7 linked regions of the Sus scrofa genome follow. The protein of the gene in region 2 interacts with the protein of the main gene of each other region in a biochemical or structural test. Links are inferred from orthologs where the notes say so. Each region holds a gene or a part of one and is shown on either strand. Other genes may lie near its edges.

Region 1 (3,229 bases), on a different chromosome or scaffold from region 2:
GAACCTATCTTAAAGCAGATAGCCTATTTTATCAGAACTGCTGCAGCCTGGCCCTGCCTCTACGTACAGGGGGTCCAGCTTCTTTGCCCTGAAGGGACCACTTTCATTCTCCTAAGCAGTTGTGCCTATCTTCCTGGTTGGCTGCAGGGACTTTATCCCCAGGGACAATAGAGAGCATGGGCAAAACAGAATTCCATGCAGGACCCTCTTCTCAAAAAAACCCAAGGAAGCCTCCCTCTGCCCAGTCCTCAGCCCACTGCGCTTCCTCAAGCCCCTCCCCTGGGCAGCAGTCGGCATTACGTTTCCCTGAGATGCCCCCAGAACCTGCGGAAGCACTGGCAGCCAGCCTTGCTAGGAACACAGAGAAGGGGACCCAGCCAGGCCCAGCTCTGCACCCGGACAGAGAGAGGTGGCCGGGAACAGAAAGCCGGGCTGGGGCTGCCCCTCGTGCACCTTGAAGGGCACCTGGCGTTCTAGGCCTTTCTTGCCTGTGCACAGAAGCCTGGAATCTAACTGAAAAGGTCCCAGTGATTTGAGCTTTGGCCTTGGGAGGTGGAGAGCCAGATTCAAAGATCAACGAAAAAAGAAAACAAAACTCTCAGCAGCTTGCCAAGCCCCTAAGTTTCCAAAGAAACAGAGTAAGTAAAGCCTGTCCTTCCTGCTGTTTCAATCGATTGTCTATTTCAGACACATCTCAGCTGCCGGGGCCCCATGAAGCTCTGTCCTTAAGCTGCTGGATCTCAGAGGCTGCGAGCTGGAGCCCCCACCCCATCGCAGGGGCCAAGCAGTGACAACGAAATAGGAACACCTTGCCTTCGGTAGCTGCTGCTGCTTTTGGTGCCCGGTGGGAAGAGGAGGCCTCAAGGAGCGCCTCGGGGGGTGGCCAGGGGACCCATCCTGGGAGGAAGGGGTCCCCCTGTAGGTGGGTGCCTGGGCACACTTGTCCACACTGAGTCCTGTGTGCGTTTGGTCCCAATCTCTGAAGAAATGCCAGGAAATGAGACTCCAGAGCAAGGACAGCAAGGTCACGAGTGACCTGTGTTAGTGCCAGGGGCCCTGGGACGGCGTGGGAATTAAAACTGAGTCAAGGGAGCGGGGACAACAAAGAGGACGGCACACTGGCGGGGGGTGACAGGAGACAGACGACGGGACACACTGGCGGGTGCTGACAGGAGACAGACGACGGGGCCTAGGCTTTGAAGTAATCAGATGCCACCGAGACGAGCCTGCCCTGCTCTCCCCTCCAGCCCATCAGCTCTGGAGGGTGGGCGTTGGGTCGCCACAGCAGCGCAGTGTGCTGGGAACGGGCACCGGGCTGAAGGGAGGAAGCTCTGTTCTCATCCTGACGCTGTCACCCAGGGGCTGGGTGACCTCGACTTTACCCTCTTTGGGCCTCGGTCGCCTGTCTGTGAAATGAAGGAATTCTACCAGGGGGTCTCCAAAGTCCCTCATACGGCTCTTGCCTGACCTCCCAGCGGCACTGAACTCAGGCACTAGTGGGTTATTTTACAAGAAGGTTCTACACAGAAGGTGAATTGTTCAGCTTGAAAAGGGAAAAATTAAGGCCTATGGGGATGGGGAGGCCTGCGAGTCCGCCCGCCCTCCCTCCCCAGTCTTTCCCTCCAAGGGGAAGGATTTTCCTCCCTTGTCCAAACGGCACTTGAGGTGGTTCAGCTGGAGCCCTGTGCGCTGTCGGAGGCCGCCGGCAGACCTGATTAGAGGTGTGTGTCTTCCTCCTCCTCCAGGTCATCCTTGGTCAGGTTGTCCAGAGGGACGATCCAGCTGTCCCCCAGCTCCCCATTGAGGTTGGCCACCTTCTTCTCCTGCATCTCTGATGAGGTCTCCATCACTTCCAGTGTTGGGTTGTCATGGTAACCGTTCTCCACTGTCTGTAGCTCTTCTGTTAGCCGTTGCTGGGGCGAAGGAGATGACCCAAGAAAAAGAGAGTCACTCTTGAGGGCTGGTAGCCTGACTATCGTCTCCACCTTACACCTGTACCCCCCGAATTTAGGAACCTCCATTTGACTAATGTGAGCAACAGGTGCTCCTGGAGGCCATCCTGACTACTGGCCTGCCTTGGGGCTCTTTGAGCTAAGAACTTGCCCAGCATCCTCAAATTCCTAGCTCACCTCCCTTTGCCCTGGTGGCAAATCCATCAAGTCCATGGAGATGAGCTTTTGTTCTTCTTGACTCCCTGGTCCACGTTCTTCCCCTCCTCCAATCCCGTCCCTCCATTCCTCCCCCCAAACTCGTCCTCACCCCCAGTGCTGAGCTGGGACAAATTGGAAGGAGGTGATGTTGATCAGGACCTCTCAAAGGCTGAGCGAGGTGGGGAGAGGAGCACCTGCAGCCATCTCCAGAACCCCGGGGAGAACGCTTTCTCTCTGTCTTTACCCAAGATACAGCCCGGGGTGAACGGGGCCGTCCCTGGGGAAGCTTTTCACAAATCTACTGATCCAGAAATTCTTTTTCTTTTTTTTTTTTTTTTTTTTGGTTTTTAGGGCCACACCCACAGCATAGAGGTTCCCAGCCTAGGGGTCCAATTGGAGCTATAGCTGCCTGCCTACACCACAGCCACGGCAAAGCCAGATCCGAGCCGTATCTGCGACCCACACCATAGCTCAAAACAAAGCCAGATGCCCAACCCACAGAGCGAGACCAGGGATCGAACCCGCAACCTCATGGTTCCTAGTCAGATTCATGTCTGCTGCGCCACAGTGGGAACTCCCAGAGATTCTTTTCAACTGATGTGTGAGGAAGTTAAGCATGGGGATATTTTTTTAAGCTCCCCACAGTGTGCAGCCTGGGTTGAGAACCATGGGCCTGTATGGAACTGCCATGGAGGAATTCTAGAAGGTGGAGGGAACAACGCTTGGTTAGACAGCTACGCCTAGGCTCATTTCTATCAGCGGTGCCTCAGAGCAACTCTGCAGGGTAGATACTGGCCCCACTAAGCAGATGAGAAATCTGAGGCTCAGAGGTCGTACGACGTGCTCAAGGTCACCCAGATGACAGGAGGCAGAGCCCGGGCTTAGGCCAAGTCTTCTTGACTCCCTGGTCCACGTTCTTCCCCTCCACCACGCTGCCTCCAACATTCCAGGCAAGTTTCCATTCCTACGAGGGGCGACCTCTGCCTGTCAGAAAGGGACCGCAGCCCCCTGGCTTTCCTCAAACATGGGAGTAACGGGGTGAGAGTCCTCCGGTGAACCGGGCTGCTTCCTGGCTGGGG
Region 2 (4,454 bases):
CCCAAGTCGTTCCCCGGCTCTCCCTTTGGCAATGACGAGGCCTCTCCCCACGGTCACACACCCAGGCCCAGGCTCTGCCTCTGCCCCATGGCTGAGGGCATTGCCACAAGGAGGTCGGTTCAAAGGTCAGAGGAAACCCCCTCAGGTGAAACTGGAGCTCAGGACAACGCCACCCCAGGTGGACCCAGGGGAGAGAGGGCCTGGAAGGTCTGACATACCTCCGCTCTCTCTGGGCCAGGGCCAGCGGCCAGACCTCTGATCTCCTGCCACCTGACCGCCTTCCTGGCTGCTGCCGGCCTCACCACTCACCTCCCCTCGCTCATTCCCAGCCACCCAAAAGCTTCCAGCCCTGACACCTTGCATGCGTGCTCCCGGCTTTGCCACCTTGCCTTCTCCTCCCACACCCCTGCCCGTGGAGCTGAGGGAGGAGGCCTGGGAGGCTTTGCCCCGAGAGCTGCTGGGCCACCTTTCTTCAGCTCTGTTACTCAGGCCCTCTGTTTTCCGTCCCCCTCACTCCTTCTCTTCCCACTCTGGAACTGCCACCCGCAGGTCTCAGCTGGCCCCTGCTGTTACCCACTTCCTTGCTCCCCGCCCCCCTCGTTCCTTGGATGTTCTGTTACTCTAGACGGAGAGCCTCTCTCGGTACTCCTTCGGCTCCTTTGGTGCTTTCGGGCCTCCTTTGTTATTCTGGGGTGTGGTGTTCCTGGCCCCTGGCTGTGACCATGTCACTTAGTTACCCGCCTTACAGCGGTGTTCTGTTCCTGGCCACCGGCACTCACGGGCTGAGTGCTGGGCTGCAGGAGGCAGGTCTACAGAAGGGGACGAGGTCACTAAGCTTCCTGAGCCAAGCGGCCAGGGGTACCTGCCTTCCCTACCCCTTGGTCTGGGGGTCTCCGGACCACCTCCGGCCACCACCCTCTCAACTCTGGTGTGGCCTCAAAGCTGTAGCCTGGCAGGTCCTGGGTGGTTCTGGCTGCTATGGGGTGATCCCTGAGCCCCATCTGGGGTGGTATGTGGCGGCTTCCACTCCACACCCACCCCCACAACCTGCAGGGGTGGCAGTACTAGGTGGGGTGCAGGGGGGCCAGTCACAGGCCACGAAGGCAGCCTCTGGACAGACAGAGGGAGGCGGCTGGCCCCAAGGAGGCTGACCGAAGGGGGGCGAGACAGAGAAGGACTGGGGGGGGTCCCTGGCCCTGCGGCCCCTCCTGGGGCCTCGCGGCGCGGGCGGAGCGCCGAGGCAGGGGGATGGCCGGGGTGGCTTGGACCCGGGGCGGGGGCGGCAGGGCAGAGGGGGCGGGGAAAGGGCGGGCGCGGGGGCGGCGCCGCAGCCAGATCCGGAGCCGGAGCCGGAGCCGACGGGAACCGAGCGGGAGCCGCCGAGGCCGCCGCAGGGTCTCCCGCGCCGCTCCCGCGCCCGCCCCAGCGCCCCCGCCTGCCCGCGGCGGGCGTGAGCGCCGTGGCCAGCCCGCGGCCGGCCGGTGGGCAGCAGGCGCCATGGCTGCCCCGGAGCCGCTGCGGCCGCGCCTGTGCCTCCTGGTGCGCGGCGAGCACGGCTACGGCTTCCACCTGCACGGCGAGAAGGGCCGCCGCGGGCAGTTCATTCGGCGCGTGGAGCCGGGTTCCCCGGCCGAGGCGGCCGCGCTGCGCGCCGGGGACCGCCTGGTCGAGGTCAACGGCGTCAACGTGGAGGGCGAGACGCACCACCAGGTGGGTGCCTGCGCCCCGCCGCCCCCCATCCCCGGAGCGCGTCCCTGCCCCGCGCGCGCGCGGACGGCGCCAGGGACCACCGGGCCGCCTGCGCCCGCGCCTCGGCTCCCCCGCCGGGGCCAGGAGGGGTCGCACAAGGGCCTACGTGGGCTCCCGGGGACAGGCGGGGGACGTGGCCACCGAGGCAGCGCCTCCTTCCTGGCCTCCCCCCGCCCCCGTCGGTTCCGCACCGCGGAGGTGGGGGGGATCCTGGCAGGGAGGGGCCCGCAATGCGGCGGCTCCTCCGGTTCTGGCCCTGGCTCTTGAGTCTTGTCCGGCCTCCGTACAGTCTGTGCAGGAGTTGGTGCCTCGGGGGTCTCCGTGTGCCTGGGGTCCCCGGCGCTTCTCTGTCAGTGGGGACACACGCGCGCGTGCACTATGGGTATGCGTGTGAATGTGCAGGTCCCTCTGGGGATCACCCTTGTGTGTACCGTGCGGGGTGTCGCGGTGAGGGCACACTTGTGTGTGTCTGCATCAGTTAAGTGTGTGTGTGTGTGTGTGCTGGACTGTGTGCACGTGAGTATACAGGTCTGCACTGCTTAGATGTGTGTGTGTGTGGTGGGGTGCCTGACCTGGGTTGTGTGTATCTGTCTTGGCCCGGGTGTCTGCCTGCTGGTGTACTAGTGTGTGTCCTGACGGTTGGTGTCTGGGTCCTGGTGGGCGTCGCTGCTGGTGGCAGCACATTCCTGTCCTAAGAAGCTGCTGGGCAGCCTGGTGGGGGGTGGGGGTGTGTGTGGGGGGCGTCACTGGCTGTACCCCCCGGCCTCCTGCAGCTGAGGGGAAAGGCCAGAGGGGGAGGTTCTCCTCAGGTTCTGATCCCTGGGGGGTGTCTGCCGCCCACTGACCTGGGATCACCTGGCTTGGGTCCTGTCCTCCTCCACCCCTTCTGCTCAGGATCCCCGCGTCCCCCAGCACCTGTCTATGTGGCCGGCCCTGGGGCCTGGAGATGTGTAAATTGGCTCTTGGCTGGGCTGGGAGCCGAACCGCTTCTCTTCTGGAGCTTTTGTCTGCCCATCTGTCTGCCGGCCTGTTCTTTACCCCGAGTGTTGGCAGGATGAGGCTCTTTGCTGCCGGGGGTGTGGGGGTCGGGGCCGAGGTCTGGGATTGACAGGCCAGGGGGCGGGCCCCGCGCAGCTGGCGCCTGGCCTCTGTTTGACATCAGCTGCCGTCTTCTCCAAGAGCGAGGCTCACCCCAGGCCTCCCTGGGTGTGGTCTCCAAGGACTTCACACGCGGGACCACGGGGAGACCTTCCCACTGCCCTGGGGGAGAGGAGGTACCATCATGGCTCCCGTTCTGCAGGCGAGCAAACCGACAGTTGCAGATACTGGGTGACTCACCTGGGTCCCACTGTCAGGCAGCATCGGGCTGCTGGGGTCCTGTGACGCTGAGGGTCACAGGGGGAGAGAGATACAGAGGGGGCCGGGGCAAAGGTGGGCCTGGCTCGGACCCTTTGCTCTGTTGCCATCTACTGAGAGGCTGGTGCGGGCCCTGTCTGTCGTCCGGGCCTTGGGGTGGGCGTGGGGGTGTTGCTCTTCCTACCCAGTGCCCAGTGGGCACTGCTTCTCCTGCGGGCACACACAGGCATGAAGGCTCCATGGCCGTGCACATGTTCTAGATGCTTCCCAGACACCTGCGTGAGCACGCCTGGCCCACAGGTGGACCTGCTCCTCCCTAGCTCTGCCTGCCGCGTCTGAGTCCCGCTTCCTGGGTTGCGTGCGGGCGCCTGAGGAGGTGTTTTGCCACAAGCACCTAGGTGTTCCCTCTGCAGGTCCAGCAGGAAGAGGCCCATGATCACGGTCTGAAAGAGAATGGAAGGCTTAGACGCAGGTTCTTCCACCGGGGGAGGCAGCCAGGCACAGACACACCGAGCCTGGGACCCAGGGAGACCCTTCCCCCCGCCCCCCCCCCGCAAACCCAGACGTGCAGACGGGGAAGCCGAGGCTTAGCCGAGCCCCGCGATTGTCCCTTCCCGGCCCCTCCCCAGAGAAGAGCCTGCGCCCAGGCGAGGCCCCCGCAGCCCCTGCAGCCCTTGGAGCCCGGCCCGCTTCGGCAGCCCCGGGAGAGGAGGGCGGGAGCCGCCGGAGCTGGGGGTGGGGGGAGGAGCTGCGGGCCTTGCGGTCCAGCCGCCCACCTGGCCCGGGAGGCTCAAGGCCTGCCCCCGGGGTGCTGCTATCCATGTGCTGCCTGGGGTGCTGGCCGTGACCGGCTCCCGCCTCCTGCCCGTCGCAGGTGGTGCAGCGGATCAAGGCTGTGGAGGGCCAGACGCGGCTGCTCGTTGTGGACAAGGAGACGGACGAGGAGCTCCGCAGGCGCCAGCTGACTTGCACCGAGGAGATGGCCCAGCGAGGGCTGCCGCCTGCCCTTGACCCCTGGGAGCCGAAGGCGGACTGGGCGCCCGCAGGCAGCCTCAGCGGTGAGGCCGGCCAGAAGGTACGGCGCCTCTGCCCACAGGGATCACCTGGCCTCTCCCAGGACCGCCTTCTCGGCGCCTCTGGTCGTCTCCACCAGTGTGCGTCTCTGGACCCCTCCTGGACCCCTGGTGGCCACTCTCTCGGCCACTTGGAGCCACTCTTTCTGTCCTCGGCCTGTGTTCTAAACCGCATGGGCTCTGGGCAGCCTGGACCTGGTCCCTGGCCCCCAGGAGGCTCGTCATCGGAGCCCCTTGTCCTTGGAAGGGTCCCTTTGACCAGCCGCCCCCTCCCCG
Region 3 (3,895 bases), on a different chromosome or scaffold from region 2:
CTTTTTTTTTTTTTTAGGGCCGCACCCAAGGCATATGGAAGTTCCCAGGTTAGGGGTCAAATGGAAGCTGCAGTTGCCAGCCTATGCCACAGCCACAGCAATGGTGGTTCTGAGCCATGTCTGCAACCTACACCACAGCTTGTGACAACGCCAGTTCCTTAACCCACTGAGCAGGCCAGGGATCAAACACTAGTCCTCATGGATACTAGTTGGGTTCCTAACTGGCTGAGTCACAAGAGGAACTCTTACCTTGATTTTATGAGACTTCAGGGATATAACAAGTGAATGAAAGATGTGGACACTGCAGAGACTGCGATTCCAATACACCAAGCCCAGAAAAATTATATTTGAAAGGACAAAGAGGAGAAATGTGCTACTGACTGGGTACTATGTGAAAACAAGTAATTGCTAACTTTGTTAGTTATAAAAGAAATGTTTGTCTTTTTTTGAGAGTTATACAACTAAGATGATGTGAAGGCTGAAATACGTTTTTAAATACTTTAATTATAGGTTTTTATGGGTCAAGTGGCATAATATCTGCAACTGTCTTTCAAATGTACCCACAGATAAACATATATACTTGTATACAGAAACAAAGAGAGACAGAGAAAGAAAGAGATGAAGCAAATGTGGTGACTCTTAAGATTTGGGGAATACAAAAGGGAAATGTCGGGGGTTCCCGTCATGGCTCAGTGGTAACAAACCCGACTAGGACCCATGAGGATGTGGGTTCGAACCTTGGCCTCACTCAGTGGGTTAAGGACACGGCATTGCTGTGAACTATGGCGCAGGTCGCAGACTCAGCTTGGATCCCACGTTGGCGTGGCTGATTCGCCCCCTAGCCTGGTTACTCCTATATGCCACAGGGGCAGCCCTAAAAATAAACAAACAGAAGGGAAATGTTTTTCGTTGTACTATTCCTTTGACTTTTCTATAGGTTTGAGCTTTTTTCTCAACAAAAAGTTGGAAAAAATATTTCGGCAACAATAAAAAAAAGAAACAGAGGAAAGAGAGAGAAGGAAAGGGAAAGAGGAAGGAAGAAAAGAGGGAGAGACAGAGAGGAGATAAAAATCTGGACAATTCTTCAATCTGGTGTCTGGGGGTTAGGGTTATTATTCCCGTAGTTTCTGTATATGTTTGAAAGGTTTTTTTTTTGTTTGTTTGTTTGTTTTTCATGGCCGCACCTGCAGCATGTGGAAGTTCCCGGGCTAGGGGTCAAGTTGAAGCTGCAGCTGCCAGCCTACACCACAGCCATGGCAACACTGGATCTGAGCTGCAATGCCAGATCCTTAACCCACTGAGAAAGGCGGGGGATCGAACTGCATCCTCACAGACATTCTGTCGGGTTCTTAACCCGCTAAGCCACAATGGGAACTCCCTGTTTGAAAGTTTCCATACTAATAAGATAATGCTAAAAAAAAAAAAAACAAGGCAGAGTTCCCATCATGGCTCAGCGGGTTAAGAACCTAACTAATGTCCACGAGGATGCAAGGTTCGATGTGGCTCGGATCCGGTGTGGCTATGGCTGTGGTGTAGGCCAGCAGCTGCAGCTCTGATTTGACCCCTAGCCTGGGAACTTCCATGTGCCGCAGGTGCAGCCCTAAAAAGAGGGGGAAAAGAAAAGGTATAGGAATGATCTGGTTCTATTTCCCCCTGTGTTTACTTGGCCTTTTCCCAGGGGCCTGGGCTGGATCGTGGCTCATCCCTCAGCCACCCTGGGAGGGGGCAGCTCTCCTTATAGTGAGTTTGCAGATGAGGAAATGGCTCGGGTAAGAGGCTTTTCAACCTCACACACAGGACTTGTCACAGCCAGTCTGATTCCAGAGCCTGCATCCTTAACCCCCACATTAAAATATTATCTCATCCATGGAGAAGCTCATGCAGACTCTGTTTTCGGCTTCAATACCCTACAAAGACCTTTCCTAATTCCACCTTGTACAATGATAACAGCCAAGCCCTGCAGTTTGGACCTACAACTTCCTAGCACCTGCTGTCTTTCCAGGAGCATCGCCTCCTCTGTCCTAACAGCCAAACCCATGGCCAGATTTACCTTCCTGATGCCTGGCAGCTCCTACAGTGACCTCGGTGCTTCCTAACTCAAAAGCCCACTCCTGGAGTTCCCGTCGTGGTACAGCAGAAATGAATCCAACTAGGAACCATGAGGTTGGGAGTTCGATCCCTGGCCTCACTCAGTGGGTTAAGGATGTGGCGTTGCCGTGAGCTGTGGTGGAGGTCACAGATGCGGCTTGGATCTGGCACTGCTGTGGCTGTGGTGTAGGCCGGCGGCTACAGCTCCAATTAGACCCCTAGCCTGGGAACCTCCATATGCCATGGGTGAGGCCAGAAAAAGACCAAAAAAAAAACCAACCAAAAAAACCCACTCCCTATCTGTAGCCTCCCACCCAAATTCCTCAGTCAGACATCCTGGCTCCACTCTTCCCAGGCTGTGTGACCTTGGGCAAATGAACTCACATCTCTGAGCCACAGCCTTTTTACCTAAAAAGTGAGACCAATATACAGTACCTACCTAACAGGTAAAAATCAATTAAGGAAAGAACTAAGCATGATGCTTGCCTAGGACCTGAATAAATGTTTCTTTCTGTAATCCGGCCTCATCTCTCCTCCCTTCCCTCCCTTCCTTCCATCCACCCTCTCACCCACTCACCCATCCCCAGGCTTCCCTCTGTCTGGCTGGTTGAAAACTGCCACTGGCTGGGCCAGCCACGGTTCCTGCACTCTGCTGGTGGTATGACCCCTGGCAGCCCCCCACGCCCATGCGGTGCCCCTGCCTAAGACTTACTCCCTGGGAGTGCAGATATTCCACGGTCTTGCTGATGGTGTGCAGGACGAAGCTGGCCTCACGCTCCGAGAAGAATTTCTGCCGCAGGATCTTGTCCAACAGCTCTCCTCCCCGCATAAGCTCTGTCACCAGGTACACGTGTTTGCCATCATCGTACACCTGTCAGAGACCTCATCATCAGGCCCCTCCTGCGATGCCAGGACTGGGCCCTTTGGTCACCAGCTCACCAGGCCAGGAAGCCTTGGGCATTGTTCCACTCTGTGTCTCAGTCACCCTGGCAGGGTCTTTCTCCATCTGAGCCCCGTCCTCCCTGGACAGGATGCTGGCACTGGGCCCCTGACAGGTAGGAGGGCTCTCAGAGAATGCCTGGGTCCAGGTGGAGGGCTCAGGGGCACGAAGGGACCTTGTTACCCGTGGCATGTCAGACATGGACATGCCATTGTTATTCGGCTCATAACTGTCTCCAAATGTTAGTTATTATGGACCCAGTTCATAAACAACAAGGTCCTACTGGACAGCACGGGGAACTATATTCACTATCCTGTAATAAGCCATAGGGAGGAGTTCCCTGGTGGCTTAGCGGGTTAAGGATCTGGCATTGTCCGTGAGCAGAGGAGGAGGATCAGAAATCAAAGGAACAGCGGCCCCGAGGCCAGTCCTAGAGTCAAGTGCCCCATCCTCACCCCACTCTCAAGGACCCCCACTCACATCTTTCAAGGTGATGATGTTGGGGTGCTGTCCGTACCGCAGAAGAATCTCAATCTCTTCCGAGGGATCTCGCTTGCTCTTGTCAATGACCTGAGGAAAGGGGGGTGCATGTGGCAGTGTCGGGGGACAGACCCCAGAGCCCCTGCCTGCCTCAGAGCCCTGGCTGCAGAGAATGGAGTCTCAGCCGCATACCTTTCGCCCATCCAGAGCCTTCCATGCCAACCCTCCCCCACCACAGGGCCAGGGCGACACTGCCCCCACCTCCACCCCAGCGAGCAGCCCTGGCCGGGATGTGTTCAAGAGGCCCACCTTGACAGCATACTCCATGTTGGTGGCCTTGTGGACGCAGCGCTTGCACTCGGAGTAGGAGCCTACACCAATGGTCTC
Region 4 (4,507 bases), on a different chromosome or scaffold from region 2:
AGTAACAAAGCGATCACATCCGGGCCACGTGAAGAGCTCCTGAAAACAAGACCGGAAGCTGGACCAAGGTTTAATCCATGTGTCGTCACCCAGAAATCCAAATAGCCAAGGATATGGGATAGGTTCCCCAGCAGTCAGGCAAACGCAAACAAAACCAGAACAAGATACCATAGAGTGTCTGAAATGCCAAAATAACACCTGGCTGCCGGGATCTGGAACGTGGGAATCAGCAGCGGGTGGGTGGGACCCCCGTCAGGCGCTTCCTACCCACGGCTGTGCAAGTTCTCAGCAGAATCCTTGCACCTGTGCGGCAGGGGTGGCCCCATCTAGATGAGCCCGTCCCCCGGGGCAGATGCCACTGTGTCCCCCAGACCAAGCGCAAGGCTGCAGTGGCAGCTGCCTTTGGCTGAGGCAGGGCCTCCCCACCGTGGCCTGGAGGTGACACGTCACACAAGCGAGAGGGCATCCGTGTGAGCCTTTCTGAGCCTGTCGTCCAAAGAGTCGTGCTCCCACACAGACACGCGACGCTCCGGTCCTGCAGCGTCTGAAGCCTCCCAGGTGAGCCTGCGAACTGGAGGATTTCCCGACTGTCCCCCCACCTTCTACCCCATCACCAGGGGCGGGGGAGGGCTGGCCTGGGCTGGCCTGCACCCCCCCTCCAGCTCCTGGGGATGGAGAGGCCGCATGTCCCGCTCCCGCAGCCGAGCCCCACCTCCTCCTGCCTGGACTCCTCCGGACAACCCCCCTCTGTGCCCATCACAAGAAGCCTGCCTCCCGGACTCTCCTCCTGGCCCCACCGGGGGCCTGCAAGGCCCTGCTCACCACCCGCAAATTTTTCCCCTGACTCTGGGCCCCCTTTGCCAAAAACCCAGGTCATCTGAGGTCATCACCCTTCCCAGGTCGTTTCCCCTCATTTCCCGAGGATTTTCGCTCCCGGATGCATGTTATTCTTGCCGTTTAAGCCCTGCTGGCGTTTACCCGTGTGGAGCCACACGGAGGCCCACCAGCCCCCGCCCCCAGGAGCCCCAGCCTCTGCCCACACCTGGCCCTCAGTGCCCAGGCCTCAGCCTACACTGGCCCTCCCCGCCCCGCCCCCTGGTCCAAGCCCGATGGCACGCTTCCTGCTCCCGACACCCACCGGCAGGGCCTCCGGGCCATAGGCCGCTGCCCGGGGCCTGCACTCTCCCTGCCGCTCCAGGACCTGCTGGCACCCCCGCGCCCGCCCGTCCCCAGCACCCCGCCCAGCTGCCCCCACAGCAGGGCCCTGTCAACACACAGACGAGCTGTGTGTCCTGCTTCCTTGCAAGACAAACCTTCTACCAGAACCCCCAACTCTGGTCCTCGCCCCCCCAAGACAGGGCTGCTGCCCCCAAGCCTCTCCTCCTTGCTCAGGAGGAAGGGGCAGGCTGCACCCTGGGTGACCCACTCCCGCCTCAGCCCAGCCCAGGGACCCAGCCGGGCCGCCCGCCCAGCACAGGCTCGTCTGCGTTCACGGTTGCCCGAGCGTCCATCACGCTGGCCAGCAGTTTCCTCCTGAGCTATGGGCCAGTGGTCAGCCCTCCTCTGTCCGGTCCACTCCTGCTCCCATCTGGGCAGCTACAGCCACTGCTGGACACCTGCCACCCAGCCCAGACATGGCAGCACCTCGTGGACACCCTGCTCCAGGCTCTGGCCCCATTTCTGCACACCCCATTTCCCACCACGGAGAGACGTGGCTCCAGCCCCTGCCCACGGCTGAGACCCGGGCTGCTCAGTCCCCTGCCGGCCTCAGGGGACATTCAGCAAAGTGCAGCCCTCCCAGGCTCCCACTGGGAACCCAGGGTGCGGCTTCCTCTGCCGCAGCAGCACAGGGGCGCAGGTGCACTGTGCCTGGCTGGGGACACTGGCACTGCGCAGGGGTGTCTTCAGCCAGCACAGGGCTTCTCCTTCTCTTCCCCAGTGGCCTCCGCGCTCTGGGACAAGGCTGCCCGAGGGCAGAGGTTCCACCCACAGGAAGGGCACGAGGCGACCAGCGGCCCGCGGGCTGGGAGGGGTCCTCGCCAGCCTCGCTCCTGGATGACACCCCACGTAGACAGCGGCACCCCAGGGGGTATCCTGGCCGCATCGACTCTCGACAACGAGGTCAGGGAGCCGGACATAATGGAACATAAAGGACACGATGGTCTTTCTTGTCTTAACTGATCGTGCTGGGTGGTCAGTTCTTCGTTTAATTTGACACCATAGCCCCAGAGCTCGCCCGTCCTCAGAGCTGAACGCCCTGTTCTGTGCAATTTTACCAAGAGGCTACCTGCTTTGTAGGGATAAATCCTCACCCGTTCAGACCCTGCCAGTTTACTTCTGGGAGAACTTGAGGGCAGTGACATTCCTCTTTTCATACTTGGAATAAAGAAAGTGGTGAGCCCAACCAGGACGGGCCAGGAGCTGCCGGCTCGCGAGGGAGCAGCCCCCTCCCCGGGTGCTGAGCCGACACGGGGGCCCCGCCACTGCCGGGGCTCTGCCGCAGCCGGGACAGAGCCGTGTGCTCAGATGGGCTATGTGCCCTCAGGGGCCCCCAAAGGCCCCCCCTCACTTACCTGAGCCCAGGTGACCCCAAAGGCGCCTCGGGTCCCCAGCTCAGCTCCCCCCATCCCCCCTGCCTTAGGCCTCAGGCAGGTGCAGTCTCAGGCGGGGAGGGGGCTGAGTGACCTTGGGGTCCGCCTGTTGTTCCAGAAGAGAGCTGACACATGGACCACTGGGCACGAGGAGTCATGAACCAGAACCAGAACCAGCCATACACTCTGGACCAGAGGGGACCCAACGCGACGCAGGCGCTTACCCAGGAGGGCTGACAGGGCCACGAGTGTCCACAGCGTGAGGAGGAAGGGGACCCGCACGGACAGCCACGGCAAGCTGGCCCCCGGGACCCCGCTGCTGTTCCGGGGGGTCATGGGTGCCAGACCCGGGTCCCAGCTGGCAAGTGCCCAGGGGTACACGGTGCCCGCCAGCCAGGCCAGCAGCACCAAGGCGCACAGGCCAGAGCCCTGCGCCCGCATGCTGGACGGGAGGCGCTGTGCTCCTCGCCAGGTGCCGAGTGTCCCCTGGGGTTTCTGCAGCCAGATCCTCCTTGTCTACGCAGGGAGCTACTCACTTCCTTCCGGCCAACTCGTCCTAAAGCTGAGCTGGCTCCCACGCCCCTTTGGTGACCACAAGCCCAGCCCTGCCCCGTGCAGCCCTGATGGCCGGTCGTCTCCAGATAAGCTCCGGGCACCCTCTGGTCCTCTTTCTGGCCAGCGGGCTGTTCCCAGGGGCTGGCTCTCTTCCCACGGGCATTCAAAGCCTTGGCAGGGAGGTTGCCTACCTCCCTGAGCCTTGAGATAAGGGGCCGGCCCGCCCCTCAGGAGATTAGTTCTCCTGTCACACAAAATAGAAGCCATGAAGGAACGGGGTTTAATTGGTGCTTAATCAGGTGTTCCAGTCTCTGCTTGGGGGCTCTGCCCAGGGATGGGAACGTGCAGAAGGGCTTCAGGCCCGTGACACTGTGGCTCCCACCCCGGTCTGTGGCCAGGCTTGCATCTCACAAAGCCCCCCCACCCCTTAGGGCCCCTGGAGGGCATGGGGGGTGTCCTGTGCTCCTGCCAAGCCCTTCCCTCCAAGTTAGGCTCAGGCTCCTCAGCCTCCTCGCAGCTGAAACCACCCACTCTTCCCCCCCGCTCACCTGTGCCCACAGGTGAGGGCCCCGACCAGAGGCGGTGGGGGGCAGAATGTGCCGCACGGTCAGGCCTGGGCACGCCTGGCAGATGCGGGGCGGGGCTCGAAGGTCTGGCACGTGGTGTTGGGACCCGAGTGGGTGAGGGGCGTCGGAGCCAGGTGTGATGAAGAGGCTGCCATGGGGGCTGCGAGGGGATTGGGGGTGCGAGGGGATTGGTTCCCTGAAGGGCTTGGATCAAGTACCTCAGTGGGTTAGGACAATGGGGCTCAGTTACTGTCAGGAAAGTGAACAAAGGGGGCGGATGGGGGGACGGGTGGGGCTTTGGGACTGGCGCATGCCCACTGGCGTCTACGGAACGACTGGCCCACCTGCCGTCCAGCACCGAGAAGTCTACCCAGTGTTCTGGGACCGTCTACGCGGGAAAAGAACCTGAGAGAGAAGAGGATGTGAACCGGGATCCCTTTGCTGTGCAGCAGAAATGGTCACAAGCTTGTCAACCGACCAGACGTCCGCGGAACTTTAAAAAGAAGAAACGAGAAAGAAAACAAAAGGAGCCAAGTTAAAAAATAAAATGCAGGAGTTCCCGTCGTGGCGCAGTGGTTAACGAATCCGACGAGGAACCATGAGGTTGCGGGTTCGGTCCCTGCCCTTGCTCAGTGGGTTAACGATCCGGTGTTGCCATGAGCTGTGGTGTAGGTCGCAGATGCGGCTCGGATCCCGCGTTGCTGTGGCTCTGGCGTAGGCCGGTGGCTACAGCTCCAATTCGACCCCTAGCCTGGGAACCTCCATATGCCGTGGGAGCGGCCCAAGAAATAGCAA
Region 5 (4,438 bases), on a different chromosome or scaffold from region 2:
TAAACAAAGTGTCCATCCACAGATGAGTGGATTAAAAAAGTCCATACAATGGAATAGTTTTTGGCTTTGAAAAGGAATGAAGAATTGATACATACTACAACATGGATGACTCTTGAAAACATGTGGGGTGATAGAAGCCAGACACAAAGCCCACATACATATGATTTCATTTATATGAAATGTCCAGAAAAAAACAGAACTTTGGAGACAATTAGCAGTTGCCAGGGAGTGGGGGAGGAAGGATGGGGAGTGACTGACTGCTAATGGATAGGAATTGCTTTATGTCTAACCCATGGCATATGGAAGTTCCCAGGCTAGGGATTGAATTGGAGTTACAGCTGCCAGCATAGGTCACAGCAATGCAGAATTCGAGCCGTGTGTGCAGTCTTTACCACAGCTCACCTGTACTTAAGTGAGGAGCTATCATTATGACTCTGTGAGTTGATATCCCTTAACCCACTGAAGGAGGCCAGGGATAAAATCCTCATGGATCCTAGTTGAGTTTGTTAACTGGTGAGCCAAGACAGAAACCCCTGGATAGGAATTTCTTTTTGGGGTGATGAAAATGTTCTAAAGTTAGATTATGGTGATGGTTGCACAGCTTTATAAATATGCTTAAAACATTGAATTATACTCTTTAAACAGGTGATTTTTCTCAAGGCTGATGGAAAAATACAAATTACAAAAGATAGTAGGTAGAACTTGGGGCAGTGAGTGGCTCAATAGACAATGGTCATTATTCTTATTAACTAGGTCTCCCTATTTTTTTGTTTGTTTGTTTGTTTGTTTGTTTTTGGTCTGGCCGCGGCAAACAAAATTTCCTGGGCCAGGGATCGCTACAGCAGCGACAACGCCAGTTCCTTAACCCGCCAGATCCTTAATCAGGGAACTCCCAGTCTCCCTAACTTAAAGCCCCAGAAGCAGTTGGGGTGGGGGACTGCTGAACTTCAGCTCGGCCTAGGTTTTAAGTCGCTGAGAGTCGCTGGGAGAATCCCAGAACCACCGCGGGTCTCCTCGGAGCTTCTCGAATGGGTGAAGCAATCCTCACTCACGTCCCTGGGGTCTCGCGGGGGTGGGGGGTGCTTGGAAGGCAGATGCGGAATTCCCAACGGACGACTTCGGCCTCAGCTGGCACCGCGCTGCAGGTGACTGGCTGGGTCGCGGCTAACCCGGAAAGGCCAGAGGAGCTCTTTCAGGTGAGCTCTCGTGATTGGCAGCCCAGGGGGGAAGGGCTTCGGGAGACGGCTGCCCCGCCCCCTCACGTCGGGCCGGTTGGCGCCAGCCTGGGGGAGGTGGGCGGGCCCTGGGGGTCCACGGCGCCCATTGGGTGTGGAGGGGAGGGAACGCCGGGGAAGGCCTAGGGCCCCGCCCCCGGATTTGCTGCGACCAATGGGCGCGGCACGTGGGCGGGGCGTCGGCGGCAGTCGGGCGGCTGAGGCGGCTGAGGTGGCTGAGGTGGCCGCTGAAGCTGAGGCAGCGGGCGCGGCCGGGATGGCGAAGAGCAGCGGAGAAAACGGGCCGCGCGCTTCCGCAGCCAGGGGGAGCCTGTCGGGGACCCGAGAGAGCCTGGCCCCGGGCCCCGACGCCGCAACGGCCGATGAACTCAGCTCTCTCGGCTCGGACTCAGAGGCCAACGGCTTCGCTGAGCGCCGCATCGACAAGTTCGGCTTCATCGTGGGCTCGCAAGGCGCCGAGGGCGCGTGAGTATGGCTGGGGGCCGGGGCCCGGGGCCGGGGGCGGGCGCGGGACCTGAGAGGAGGGCCTCGACGCGGACCGAGCCGCTCTCAGGAAGGACCGACGTGTCTCAACCAGGAACCAGCGACCCTTATCTCCCTTGCCCCACCCCCACCTCCCCCCAGGCGGATTGACCCGCTTTCACCCTGGAGCCTACTTTGGAGCCTGGGACACGCAGGCCAACCTCACCTCTCCTGCTCGCACCTCCAGACAGACTGACCCGCCCCCAGGAAGGGCTCTCCTCACAACTGCGGACAGATTGACACCTGTCCCAACCCCATCACTACCACCCTCGCCTTAGGGTTGATTGACTTTGCCACCCTGGGCAGGCTCACAGGTGGCCGCCCTTCCCCCAACAGGCCGATGTTCTCCATGCCCCCCCGCCCCGCCCCCGACCCGCAGATGCCCTTGTTTTAGCAGCCCACTACCCTCATATCAGGGGTATACCTTAGGCAGACTTCAGAGGGACAGACTTCTCTGCCCACACTACATTCCAGGACAGACTGACCCTCACCTCAAGACACACAGACCTCTGAATAGACTGATATTTGTCAGTTCCCTCCTTCTTTGGGACAGACAGTCCCTTCCCCTCATGGAAGGGTCAGAGCAGAGCGTGTTCCCCTCTCCCCTCAGAGGCAGATTTCTCCCTGTCATTAGCAACAGGTGGGCAGACACTCCCCCTTTCCAGTACCCACAAGGTGATGGTACCTCATCTTCAGAATAGACTGTCTTTGTGGATGGTGTGGAAACATGCACCTCCTCTCCAAACACAGACTGGGGTTGGGGGGGCAGCAGCAGGAGACAGCAGGGTCCAGGCTCTTAGCACACCCAGATCCCCTGTACCCAGGCACCCAGCTGGCAGGCAGAGAAATGTGGGGCAGGGAAGCAGCACCTTCCCTTTAAGTGGGGTAAATTGAGCAGCCACATAGAACTCCTTGAGCCTAGTCCTCACAGAGATCATATGTATGGGTTGGTGATCCCTTTAGGAAGGATGGACTCTTGATCCCACTCCCATCCTCCTGTCCTGTCACATGAGACCAATGTTGTGCACAAAATTGACAAATCTCCCTTGCAATGGGCCTCCTCTTCAACAGAGAGCCCCATACAATCACTTGTGGGAGCCCACAGGACTCAGCCATGACCCTACTCCAGAGGGTCCTTCCTCCCCTTCTCTCACCATTTGTGACTGCCCAAGCTTCTCCAGCCTCTGTTATGACTTATGGAAGGGCCTTGATCATGTGTAAGATTTCAACCCCACACAAACAGTCCCATAAAGGTCACTTCTGGGATTTTTCCCTAGTCCAAATCCTCATATTCAGCAGGCCTCTTTCTCATTTGGAGAGGTAGAGAGAAATGCAGGCCTCTCCCCTCCTCTAAGGAGAGTTCTCTTTTACTCACTGGACTGTGTCCTCCAGCCTCTTTCCATTTACTCACAGCAAGCTAAGCCTTGTCCATTCCAGGACTCAGAGAGCACCCCTTATTCTGATCCCTCACCCTGACTCAAAGCTTTGTCACAGTTCCCTAGGGATTGGAATGAGAGAACCCAAAGGTGAATTGGAATATATTTTTGAAATGAGGAGCAGATACAAGGGCTCAGGGTCCTGGGAGGGATGAGGTCTAAAAAAGTGGGAAAGGAGTTCACAGTTGCATTTGTGGGTGCTTGGAGGGAAGAGCTCAGATTTGCTGGTGAATTCTGGGAGGTAAGAATTCCTACCATGCTTATCAGGCACTTAATCACATCTCAGGGTACAGAGCAGGGTGATATAGTGGAAAAAGGCCAAATTTAGCAAGAAGTCACACTTACTGGCTGTGTGACCATGGGTAAGATCCTGAATCTCTGAGCATGTTTACTCACTGTAAAGGGTAACAGTATCACCTACTCCCAAGATTACTGTGGGGATTAAATGAGATAAAGTATTCAAAGGTGCCTAGCACAGTACCTGGCTCAAGTAGTGGCCCAGAAAAAATGTTAGTTTCCTTTTCCTTCAAAAGATCTGGAAATTGAGGAGAAAGTGAGCATGTATCTCTGGTATTTGTAGAAAGAGAAAGGCCCCAGGGGAGGACCTCCCTTTGGCTGTAGTCCCCAACCAAGCAGCCAGACATCTGTCTTCCCCACCCTCCAACCACAAACCCAGGCTTTGCAGACACCCTCTGCATCCTTGGTGTCTATACTGCTGGGGCTGAGGTGGGATTCCAGGTCCCTTCCTCTCTCCCTGTCTCACTTTCTTGACTCTGTTGGCTAACCTAAAATCTCTGGTATCTGAAGGCCTGGGATGTTCCCTGTTTAGTTTATATTGTGGTTCAAAAAAAGTCAAAAGTAAGTCTCTGCCCAAGGCCATAAGAGGGGAAGTTATGAGAAGTTTCAGAGTGGTTGTGCTGAATCCAGTCTCGTGGTTGAGGGCTAGTGGGGCCCAAGTGCTGTCCCAGAAAAGTGAAACATTAGCACTGATGGCTGCAGCAGAGATGGTGGGGACTCTGGCTCCAGATTAAAGGTCCATTTTAGCCATTCTAGGCCAAAGGTTGTCTCAAGATGATAAGTTTTGGCAGTTGCCAGGAGCTGGGGGGATGGGAAAGAATGCAAATCAGAAGCTACCCCACTCAGTTGAGTGTTCGGTGCCTGGCCTGAGTAGGTCATAAAATCATAGACCCTTTAAGCTAAAAGGGATCTTAAGAGATTGACCAGCTTAACTGTAATTTATAGAGA
Region 6 (3,895 bases), on a different chromosome or scaffold from region 2:
CTATGGGAGAAGCCCATGAAACAAGGTACAATCTAGTTTGAGATAATTCAATTAATAAGTGTAATTGGGGTCTGGGAATAAAACTCTGGGTATTATGGGTAGATACAGAACCAAGATTAGAGGGGAAAATGCTGAAAGTTCATTGGAAGGTTCTTCAATTGGGTTCACACTGGACAACAGAAAAGCTGCCTGTGGTAGAAGCAATAGCAAAGCCTCAAAGCAGATGTTGCATTTTGGACACGGTACTCGCTGTATGAATTGTGTGGGCTAAATAGGTAATGTGCGTAAAAGGTTTTGCAAAATTGATCTTTTAATTGTAATAAAATAGGATTGAGATAAGAACAAAAAAAGTAAACATCTTGTACAGAAAATGCAAATAGTCAGAATAATAACTACCATTTACTGAATGCCTATAGTGTGCAAGACGCTTTGAAGCAATGCTAGATGCCTTGAAAACATTTGCATTTGGGAGTTCCTGTTGTGGCTCAGAGGGTTAAGGACCTGACATTGTTTCTGTGAGGATGAAGGTTCAATCCCAAACCTTGCCCTTGGATAAGGGCACAGGTTCTCCTCTGATCCAGTGTTGCAGTGGCTGTGGCATAGGCCACAGCCAACTAATTCAACCCCTGGCCTGGGAACTTCCATATGCCACACAGGTGCCACAGGTAAAGGGGGAAAAAAAATTCTCATTTAATTTTCACAATCACCTTGAAATCTGAGTATTATTTTTATAGGCATATAGATGAAGCTTAAAAAGTTTAAGTAGGAGTTCCCGTCGTGGCCCAGTGGTTAACGAATCCGACTAGGAACCATGAGGTTGAGGGTTCGGTCCCTGCCCTTGCTCAGTGGGTTAACGATCCGGTGTTGCCGTGAGCTGTGGTGTAGGTTGCAGACACGACTCGGATCCCGCATTGCTGTGGCTCTGGCATAGGCCGGTGGCTACAGCTCCAATTCCACCCCTAGCCTGGGAACCTCCATATGCCACGGGAGCGGCCCAAGAAATGGCAATAAGACAAAAAAAAAAAAAAAAAAGTTAAGTAAATTGCCCAATATATTTCCTTTAAAAAATCCCATCACTAGTGAAGTAAGTAACAAAGTGATACTTACTTTGTGCTACACTTTTCTCAACTTTAAATTATCAAATTCCATTTGGGAGCTCCCTGGTGGTCTAGTGGATAGGACCCAGTACTTTCACCATTTTGGTCCAGGCTTGATCGTCAGTCTGGGAACTGAGATGCGCCATCAAATTGCTGCTGCACGCTATGGCAAAAAAAGAAAGAAAGAAAGAGAAAAAAAAATCCATTTAATTCCCAGAAACAATAAGAAATGTGCAATATCCTTGAATCTGACAAATTAAAAGCATTTTATAAGGTGTCATAGAAATTCTGATGGGTAAAATGGAACAGCCTCACTTAGAGTTAGGGACAATGACTAGACTTTAATCTGTCCCAGGACTCCGATGCCATAACTTAGGAAACATTGCTGAAAAAAATTTCTTAAGTAATTTCCTTTCTTGAGATCTCACTTTACAAGTCACAAATGCATTCATTCACTCATTAGTAAACTGAGTCAATTTCTATTGCTTTTGGCAGCCTTTTCAAAATAAATCAAAGCCCTTGTTTACTTACCCAACAGAGCTGTGTCCAGAGCATCGGGGTAAAAAGCGATATCACTGTCACAAAACACAATCTAGGTCCCTTAATCCAGCCTCTTTTGATCTCAAAAGGTGGTAACATTCAGTGCAGAGCTCACTCATCTGTAAATTGCATCACATTATCTCCGAGTTATTTAAGAAGCAAGCTCTGTTTGGTTTCAGGCATTTTAACCTGCTAAAGGCAAGAAGGGTTTGCCACACAGTTCCAAAGGTCTTCCACTCGCCACAGCCGTCAGAGAAAGCAAAATGATCGAAGCCATCGGGAATCAGTATGTGGTGGCCAGGCCAGTGTATTCTGCAAACGCTTTCGGGGAAGAGCATAAGAAGAAACAGAGACGTCATAAGACTTTTCTGGATCATCTCAAACAGTGTTGCAGGTAAGACATTTTTTTAAGGTACGGGCAGTAGGGGTAAAGGAAGCACCATTTCTGAACTGTTTAAGCTTCCAAGCTCTCCTTTCTAGCTGTAGCCCACAGTCTCCAGAGTCTTTTTACCTTTGATTTCCAAACCTCTCCCTCTCTGCCAGGGCTGGGAAGGTAGTGTCTGCAATGCACACCATCCTTCCACCTCAGAGGACTGACAGATGAGGACAGAGGAGAATTCTCCAACAAACTGTGGTCCAGTGCAAGCTGGGGAGGGCAAATAAGTTCTCTTACGGCTAAAGAGAAGGGACAATTTTCTTAAAAAAAAAAAAAAACCATTGGTGATGGCTGGGGAGCAGCGGCTATGGGTAAGGAGGTGAATGGTATTGGGAAGCTAGTGAAATGATCATTTATGATTAGCTTTATCAATGTTCCATCTACAATTAGACCCTGAACTTAAAATTGGATAGTAATTAACTGACTTGTGGCTTTCAATGTTTTCAGCTGTTCCACACAAAAGGCCAAGAGAATTGCCCTTTCTTCGTTCCCCATAGCATCTTGGTTGCCAGCATACCGCATAAAGGAATGGCTACTCAGTGATATTGTTTCTGGAATCAGCACAGGGATGGTGGCTGTGCTGCAAGGTAACTTTTTTTTTTTTTTTTGAGATGTAATTCATGAATCAAAAATTCATCCTTTTGATGTGTACAATTCAGTGTTTGGGGGTATAGTCACAAGGTTATGGAACTATCACCATTGTCTAATTCCAAGATATTTTCACTGTAACCACCCCCCAAATCTCTTGCTCATTAGCAATCACTTCCCACCCCAGCCCCCTCACCCCTCCATCCATTCCCCCTAGTAACAACTTTCTTTCTCAATGGATTTGCCTATCCTGGGCATATTATGCAAACAGAATCATATGTGGTCTACTGTGTCTGGTTTCTTTCACTTAGCAGAATGTTTGCAAGGGTCATCCATAACATATGGGTACTTCGTTCCTTTTCGTGACTGAATAATATTCTAAGGAATAGATAGACTATTTTGTTTGTCGATTCATTGCTTGATGGACCTTTGGATTCTTTCCACCCTGTGGCTATTATGAATAATACTGTTAGGAACACTTGTACACACATTTTTGTGTGAACCTATGTTTCAGTTCTCTTGGGTTTATACCTAGACGTATAATTGCTGTCATATAATAACCCATTAGCAATGGTGAGGGTTTGCATTTCTCCATGTCCTCATGAACGCTTGTTATTGTCTGCCTTTGTTATTTTAGTTATCCTAGTGCGTATGAAATGGCATCTCATGTTGATTTTGATTTGCATCCCCCTAATGACTAATGCTGTTGAGCATTGTTTCATGTGCTTACTGACCATCTGTACATCTTTGGAGAAATGTCTATTTAAATCTTTTGCACATTTTAAAATTAGGTTATGTATCTCATTGTTGAGTTGCAAAATTTATTTATATATTCTGGATACTAGACCCTTATCCAAGCTATGATCTTCAAATAATTTCTCCCTCTCTGTGGGTTATTTAATTTTTTTTTTGAATAGTATCCTTCGAAGCACACATTTTTACATTTTGATGGAGCGCAATGCATCTGTTTTTGATTTGGCTGCTTATACTATAGGTGTCACTTCTAAGAAACTATTACCTAATCCAAGGTCACAAAAGTTTCCATCCAAGTTTTCTCCCAAGAGTTTTATAGTTTTAGCTCTTACATTTACATTTTTGATACATTGAAGTTAATAATTGCTCAGGTGCCATCTTAAATACTTGAAGAACCTAATGAAAACGTCTGTGCATGAAATAAGGACATTGATGCTTGTATATTCACAGGTCTAGCGTTTGCTCTGCTGGTCACCGTCCC
Region 7 (4,486 bases), on a different chromosome or scaffold from region 2:
GAGGAAAGACCAAAACAACCAAAATATCAACCAAGTGCACTTGGCTAAGAAATCCTTATTTCTTTCTTGTAAAGCTTTAAACTTCTTTAAAAAAAAGAAATATATATTCTCCTCTAAAATTCACAATAATTACCAGTAGCCATAATGTATGACTCCCCTTAGCCCTTAAGTGCCAACTATTATGAAAACAAATGACATTTAAGAAAAAATGCTAATACCCAATAAGAAGCTGGAACACCATTTGGCATTTCACCAGTTCCAATTATCTTACTTTTGGGAATATAAAAAAAAGGGGGAAGATATAGTAAAATACACAGTCGTGGATATGGATCATATCATAATTAGAAATAAACAGTGTTAAAAATGAAAGATTGCATAAATTACCATTAAATACCCGGTTTTAAACATAAATAAACACTAACCATAAAAAATTAAGGATTCAAGATTCAAAACTATTTAGTTTTATAGAAACGATGTGTGAGCAGAAGAGTGCATAAAGATTTCTAGGGAAAAGACTGAAAAACAACCAAAATAGCATCAAATGTACTTGGCTAACAGAAATAAATCCTTGGGGAGTTCCTGTTGCAGCTCAGTGGTAGCGAAACCGACTAGTATCCATGAGGACCTGGGCTTGATCCCTGGCCTTGCTCAGTGGGTTAAGGATCTAGCATGGCCAGGAGCTGTGGTGTAGGTCGCAGATGCGGCTCGGATCTGGGGTTGCTGTGGCTGTGGTGTATGTAGGTCGCTGACACAGCTTGGATCCCATGTTGCTGTGGCTGCGGTGTAGGCTGGCAGCTGCAGCTGCAAGTCAGCCCCCTAGTCTGGGAACCTCCATAGGCTGAGAATGCGGCCCTTAAAAAAAAAATTGCTCCTGCTGCTGCAGTAGGAAAACTGGACACAGGTGCCTAACAAAATCAGACAAGTCCTCACCTATCCCATTTACAGACACATACATTTTGAAAATCCACAAACAGAAGATGCTCTGAGAATTCCTTGCCCTGCCAGAAGTTACAGTAACCACACCCATAAGCCTAGGCTCTACTTTACTCAAGGGCCACCAAATGGCCAAGAGATGTAGCTACACACACTGAATACACCTCCAGCAAAACAAGCTTCCAACCCTTGGGGACCCTCTGCTAGGCCGGCCCATTAAAAAGGAAATTATCAGAGTATGGATTAGGGGCCAGAAACAAAAGATCTCATAATGACCCAAGTGTGATTAAAGGCCAAAGGTTCAGGCCCACCTAGTTAAGTAGTCCTAGCTACTAGATAAAAACTTTTAGTTAAAGCTTCACCAGAGTTCAGTAGCGGCTCAGCGATTAACATCCAAGAGGTTGCTGGTTCAATCCCTGGCCTTGCTCAGTGGGTTACGGATCTGGCATTGCGGTGAGCTGTGGTGTAGGTCGAAGAAACAGCTCAGATCCCGAATTGCTGTGGCTCTGGCATAGGCCTGAGGCTACAGCTTCTACTGGACCCCTAGCCTGGGAACCTCCATGTGCCGCAGGTGCGACCCTAAAAAAAAGGAAAAGAACTTCACCTCTGTAAGCTGTTTTTCATCAGGGTTTGCTCCCAGCTCAGGACGCTTCAGTGGATTTAGGACCAAATGATTCCTGGGCCGGACCATCAGCACTGTCAGACCATGCACTGCTTCTCTGAAGGCTAGAGACCTGGATAAGACCCCACAGGCCTCAGGGACCCCATCCCCAGAGTGGTCCTCAAAAGGGGAAGTAGAAATATTTGCAATAGGAAAGAGGCTAGCCAAGTTCATTCTCCAGTGCTGGCTGTGCCTCCGGGGCCAAAGCAAAACGTGCCCAAGAGCAGTGTGCCCCAGTAATTAAAAAATAGTGTAGTTTTTTCACCCACATGTAATTTGCCACAACTAGGTACCAAGATAGTGAGAGACGCACACGGAGAGGGAGGGAGCGAGACACAGTCACAAAAACACAGACAGAGGGAGCTCAGTGCAGTTTGGTACGCAGCTGTCATCTAAGAATACAGAAAAAGGTGGGGACATTGGAAGACGGCAACTGGTCCAGGGCACTAAATAGATAAAGGAAGCTGTTCATAAGATGCTTGCTTAGGGGGGAAAGGGTGCAGCTTTAGCTCAGAACTTCGAACTCCTTAGCAATACTGGGGAAGCCGGCTACACAGAGTAGGGAGTGGAGAGGGGGCGCAGCGCGTTCTCCTGCTGGGTGTAGATTCCCACTGGGCAGCCCAGGTTCTCCGCCTCTCCCCCTCCTGCTCCAGCTGCTCCCCCTGCTCCTCCTCCTACGGGCTGGCGAAACAGCGAGAGGAAAGGCAGGGACACCCGGCGGCCCCGCCACCAGGGCCTCCTCCCCCGCCCTGCTCCTCCGCCCCCGCGCGCCCAGGCTCAGGTGGGGACCACGCGACCCGCGTGGGGCCGCCCCATTGTCGGCGGGAAGCCGGGCGGCCTGGGCACCGGCGGGAAGCTCTTGCTCGCCCCAACCCTCTGTTCCCGAAAGGCGCCGGCGCGGCGGCGGCGGTGTCACAGCTCAGGCGGGGCGCTCACCAGAACAACACGCGCGAGCAGACGTTCGCGTCCCGAAGCGGGTTGGGCTTCACCTCCGGGTACACCGGCAGCATCCTGACGGCCAAGACGGGTGCGGGCCGGGGTCGCACAGCTCCCGCGGCGGTGCCGCTCACGCTGCTCCCGGAAGGGTTGGCGGAGATGCTGGACCTCTGGCTGGCCCGGGGGTCCGCCTGCAGGAGCCCAAGAATCACTCGCTTCCGGGAGTGGAACGCCTGCGGCCCGCCTCCCAGGCCGCGCCGCCTCCCGGGTCCGCCTCGGGGCCGCCAGCTACGCGCCGCTGCAGGATCTGCCGGGAGCCGGGTGCAGCGGACGCGTGCGAGCGGCGAGACAAAGGGGTGACTCGGCTGCCGCCGTCCGCAGCTTGGTGAAGGGGCGAGGCGAGGCCGAAGGTGCCGTTGGATGGAAGCGGGTAGACCTACCACGCGACACAGTCTGTCTCCGAGCCGAGACACCCACGTGCTCGCACCTGGCTGCAAGCTCAGCCTCAGTTCTTGCTCCCAGCCCAGGCACCCACCCAGAAGAGGTGGAGAGGGAGAGGCGTGGTATTTGCCCGCCCCTGCAGTTCAGAAACGCCCCCTCGGCTGCAGCTTTCCGAAGACCCAGAGAAGGCCGGCTGTAGGCATTAGCAGTCCGCCCTCTGGGCACCCTGCCCTCCTCACGACCAAACTAGGGTGCTATGGGAGGTTCTCCATCCTGCGGCTAAACATTTGACCTGGGACAACGGCTGGATTTAGCACAGATGTGTTTGTAACGCTGCAAGACCTAAAGATATGTAACAGAGAATTAGAAGAACTCAAAAAATTTTGGAAGACGAATGCACGCTTCCAAAGGGCTTTTGAGATCTCACATTACTGCATGGTGCGGGGGGGACCTCTGTAAGCTTTTTGCTGCCCTTTTAGATTGGGAAAGGGGAATATGGCGAGAGACTGCCTTATGATTTCTTTCATCATGTGCTCAAAACCTAGTGGAGTAACAGTGGTACATTTTATAAAACACCGGTTATAGGCACTTCTGGGGACCTGACTGCACTTTTCACTCTAACGATGCCCTAATAAAGAAGGTATTACTATCCCTGTTTTACAGATGAGAAAGATAAGGCTCAAGGACAGAACTTGTCCAAGGCTTGAAAATCAATAAACAGGAGTTCCTGCTGTGGCACAAGGGTATGGGAGATGTCTCTGTGGCATGTGGACACAGGGTTCATCCCTCCCCTGGCACAGTGGGTTAATGGATCTGGCCACCCAGCTGCAGCTCAGATCTGACCCCTGGCCCAGGAACTCCATATGCTTCGGGCTGGCCAAATAAAAATAACATAAAATAAAATAAAATCAGTAAATAATGAATTCTGATTTGGACCAAGTGAAAGTCCAGCATGGTCTCAACCGGTAGGTGGACAGTGTGCATGAAAAGTGCCTAGAATATGCTGTTTGGATGAATGAATGACTGCAGGTCTGAATGAACCAAATCTTGGGTATCTTCTCTTCCCTTCCACTCTAAATGAAGAAAGCTCAAAGTTCTTTGTGTTTACAATGATAACATCTTTTTTATTCTTTTTGAGTATTTCAATGTACCTTGACTAAAATACTGTTATTACTTTTTTTGCTGTACCCGGTAGCATGTAGAAATTTCCAGTTGGGGACCGAACCTGCACCGTAACAGTGACCTGATCCACAGCACTGACGTTGTCAGGATCCTTAACCCACAGAGACATGTGGAAACTCTTAAAATAGTGTTATTAATAATGGCTTTTTTCATCGAGAACTATGTCTAGATACTTATGTTGCAACAGAAGAAAGGGTGGGGGAAAAACTGTAATTGCAATGTATACATGTAAGGATAACCTGACCCCCTTGCTGTACAGTGGGAAAATAAAAAAAATAAAAAATAAAAAAATAAAAAAATTTTTTCACCACTGGAAAAATAATAAAATAATAA

What was found.
Region 1: the proteins of SLC9A3R2 (region 2) and PODXL form a complex in vitro, tested with the Homo sapiens proteins (3 studies listed by BioGRID and IntAct, with this or other methods). The link is inferred for Sus scrofa from reciprocal best matches to the Homo sapiens genes NHERF2 and PODXL.
Region 3: the proteins of SLC9A3R2 (region 2) and RPS6KA1 interact in a test that uses a peptide from one of them, tested with the Homo sapiens proteins (2 studies listed by BioGRID and IntAct). The link is inferred for Sus scrofa from reciprocal best matches to the Homo sapiens genes NHERF2 and RPS6KA1.
Region 4: the proteins of SLC9A3R2 (region 2) and SLC9A3 form a complex in vitro, tested with the Homo sapiens proteins (2 studies listed by BioGRID and IntAct, with this or other methods). The link is inferred for Sus scrofa from reciprocal best matches to the Homo sapiens genes NHERF2 and SLC9A3.
Region 5: the proteins of SLC9A3R2 (region 2) and TBC1D10A form a complex in vitro, tested with the Homo sapiens proteins (2 studies listed by IntAct, with this or other methods). The link is inferred for Sus scrofa from reciprocal best matches to the Homo sapiens genes NHERF2 and TBC1D10A.
Region 6: the proteins of SLC9A3R2 (region 2) and SLC26A3 form a complex in vitro, tested with the Homo sapiens proteins (2 studies listed by BioGRID and IntAct, with this or other methods). The link is inferred for Sus scrofa from reciprocal best matches to the Homo sapiens genes NHERF2 and SLC26A3.
Region 7: the proteins of SLC9A3R2 (region 2) and ABCC4 form a complex in vitro, tested with the Homo sapiens proteins (2 studies listed by BioGRID and IntAct, with this or other methods). The link is inferred for Sus scrofa from reciprocal best matches to the Homo sapiens genes NHERF2 and ABCC4.

What each region holds. Positions count from the first base shown.
Region 1 is NC_010460.4:17,489,019-17,492,247, reverse strand, and holds part of PODXL (podocalyxin), read right to left. Parts: intron 1,914-3,229; coding exon 1,716-1,913; 3' UTR 1-1,715. UniProt on the Homo sapiens protein: Involved in the regulation of both adhesion and cell morphology and cancer progression. Functions as an anti-adhesive molecule that maintains an open filtration pathway between neighboring foot processes in the podocyte by charge repulsion.
Region 2 is NC_010445.4:39,949,735-39,954,188, reverse strand, and holds the start of SLC9A3R2 (Na(+)/H(+) exchange regulatory cofactor NHE-RF2), read left to right. Parts: upstream 1-1,364; 5' UTR 1,365-1,497; coding exon 1,498-1,710; intron 1,711-2,847; exon of another isoform or gene 2,848-3,031; coding exon of another isoform or gene 3,032-3,049; intron 3,050-3,979; coding exon 3,980-4,180; intron 4,181-4,454.
Region 3 is NC_010448.4:83,934,008-83,937,902, reverse strand, and holds part of RPS6KA1 (ribosomal protein S6 kinase alpha-1), read right to left. Parts: coding exon 3,818-3,895; intron 3,599-3,817; coding exon 3,509-3,598; intron 2,960-3,508; coding exon 2,801-2,959; intron 1-2,800. UniProt on the Homo sapiens protein: Serine/threonine-protein kinase that acts downstream of ERK (MAPK1/ERK2 and MAPK3/ERK1) signaling and mediates mitogenic and stress-induced activation of the transcription factors CREB1, ETV1/ER81 and NR4A1/NUR77, regulates translation through RPS6 and EIF4B phosphorylation, and mediates cellular proliferation, survival, and differentiation by modulating mTOR signaling and repressing pro-apoptotic function of BAD and DAPK1.
Region 4 is NC_010458.4:79,624,135-79,628,641, reverse strand, and holds the start of SLC9A3 (sodium/hydrogen exchanger 3), read right to left. Parts: upstream 3,088-4,507; 5' UTR 3,033-3,087; coding exon 2,816-3,032; intron 1-2,815. UniProt on the Homo sapiens protein: Plasma membrane Na(+)/H(+) antiporter. Exchanges intracellular H(+) ions for extracellular Na(+) in 1:1 stoichiometry, playing a key role in salt and fluid absorption and pH homeostasis.
Region 5 is NC_010456.5:47,298,506-47,302,943, reverse strand, and holds the start of TBC1D10A (TBC1 domain family member 10A), read left to right. Parts: upstream 1-1,403; 5' UTR 1,404-1,491; coding exon 1,492-1,700; intron 1,701-4,438.
Region 6 is NC_010451.4:107,508,626-107,512,520, reverse strand, and holds part of SLC26A3 (chloride anion exchanger), read left to right. Parts: intron 1-1,816; 5' UTR 1,817-1,900; coding exon 1,901-2,031; intron 2,032-2,520; coding exon 2,521-2,660; intron 2,661-3,864; coding exon 3,865-3,895. UniProt on the Homo sapiens protein: Mediates chloride-bicarbonate exchange with a chloride bicarbonate stoichiometry of 2:1 in the intestinal epithelia. Plays a role in the chloride and bicarbonate homeostasis during sperm epididymal maturation and capacitation.
Region 7 is NC_010453.5:64,306,669-64,311,154, forward strand, and holds the start of ABCC4 (multidrug resistance-associated protein 4), read right to left. Parts: upstream 3,164-4,486; 5' UTR 2,605-3,163; coding exon 2,531-2,604; intron 1-2,530. UniProt on the Homo sapiens protein: ATP-dependent transporter of the ATP-binding cassette (ABC) family that actively extrudes physiological compounds and xenobiotics from cells.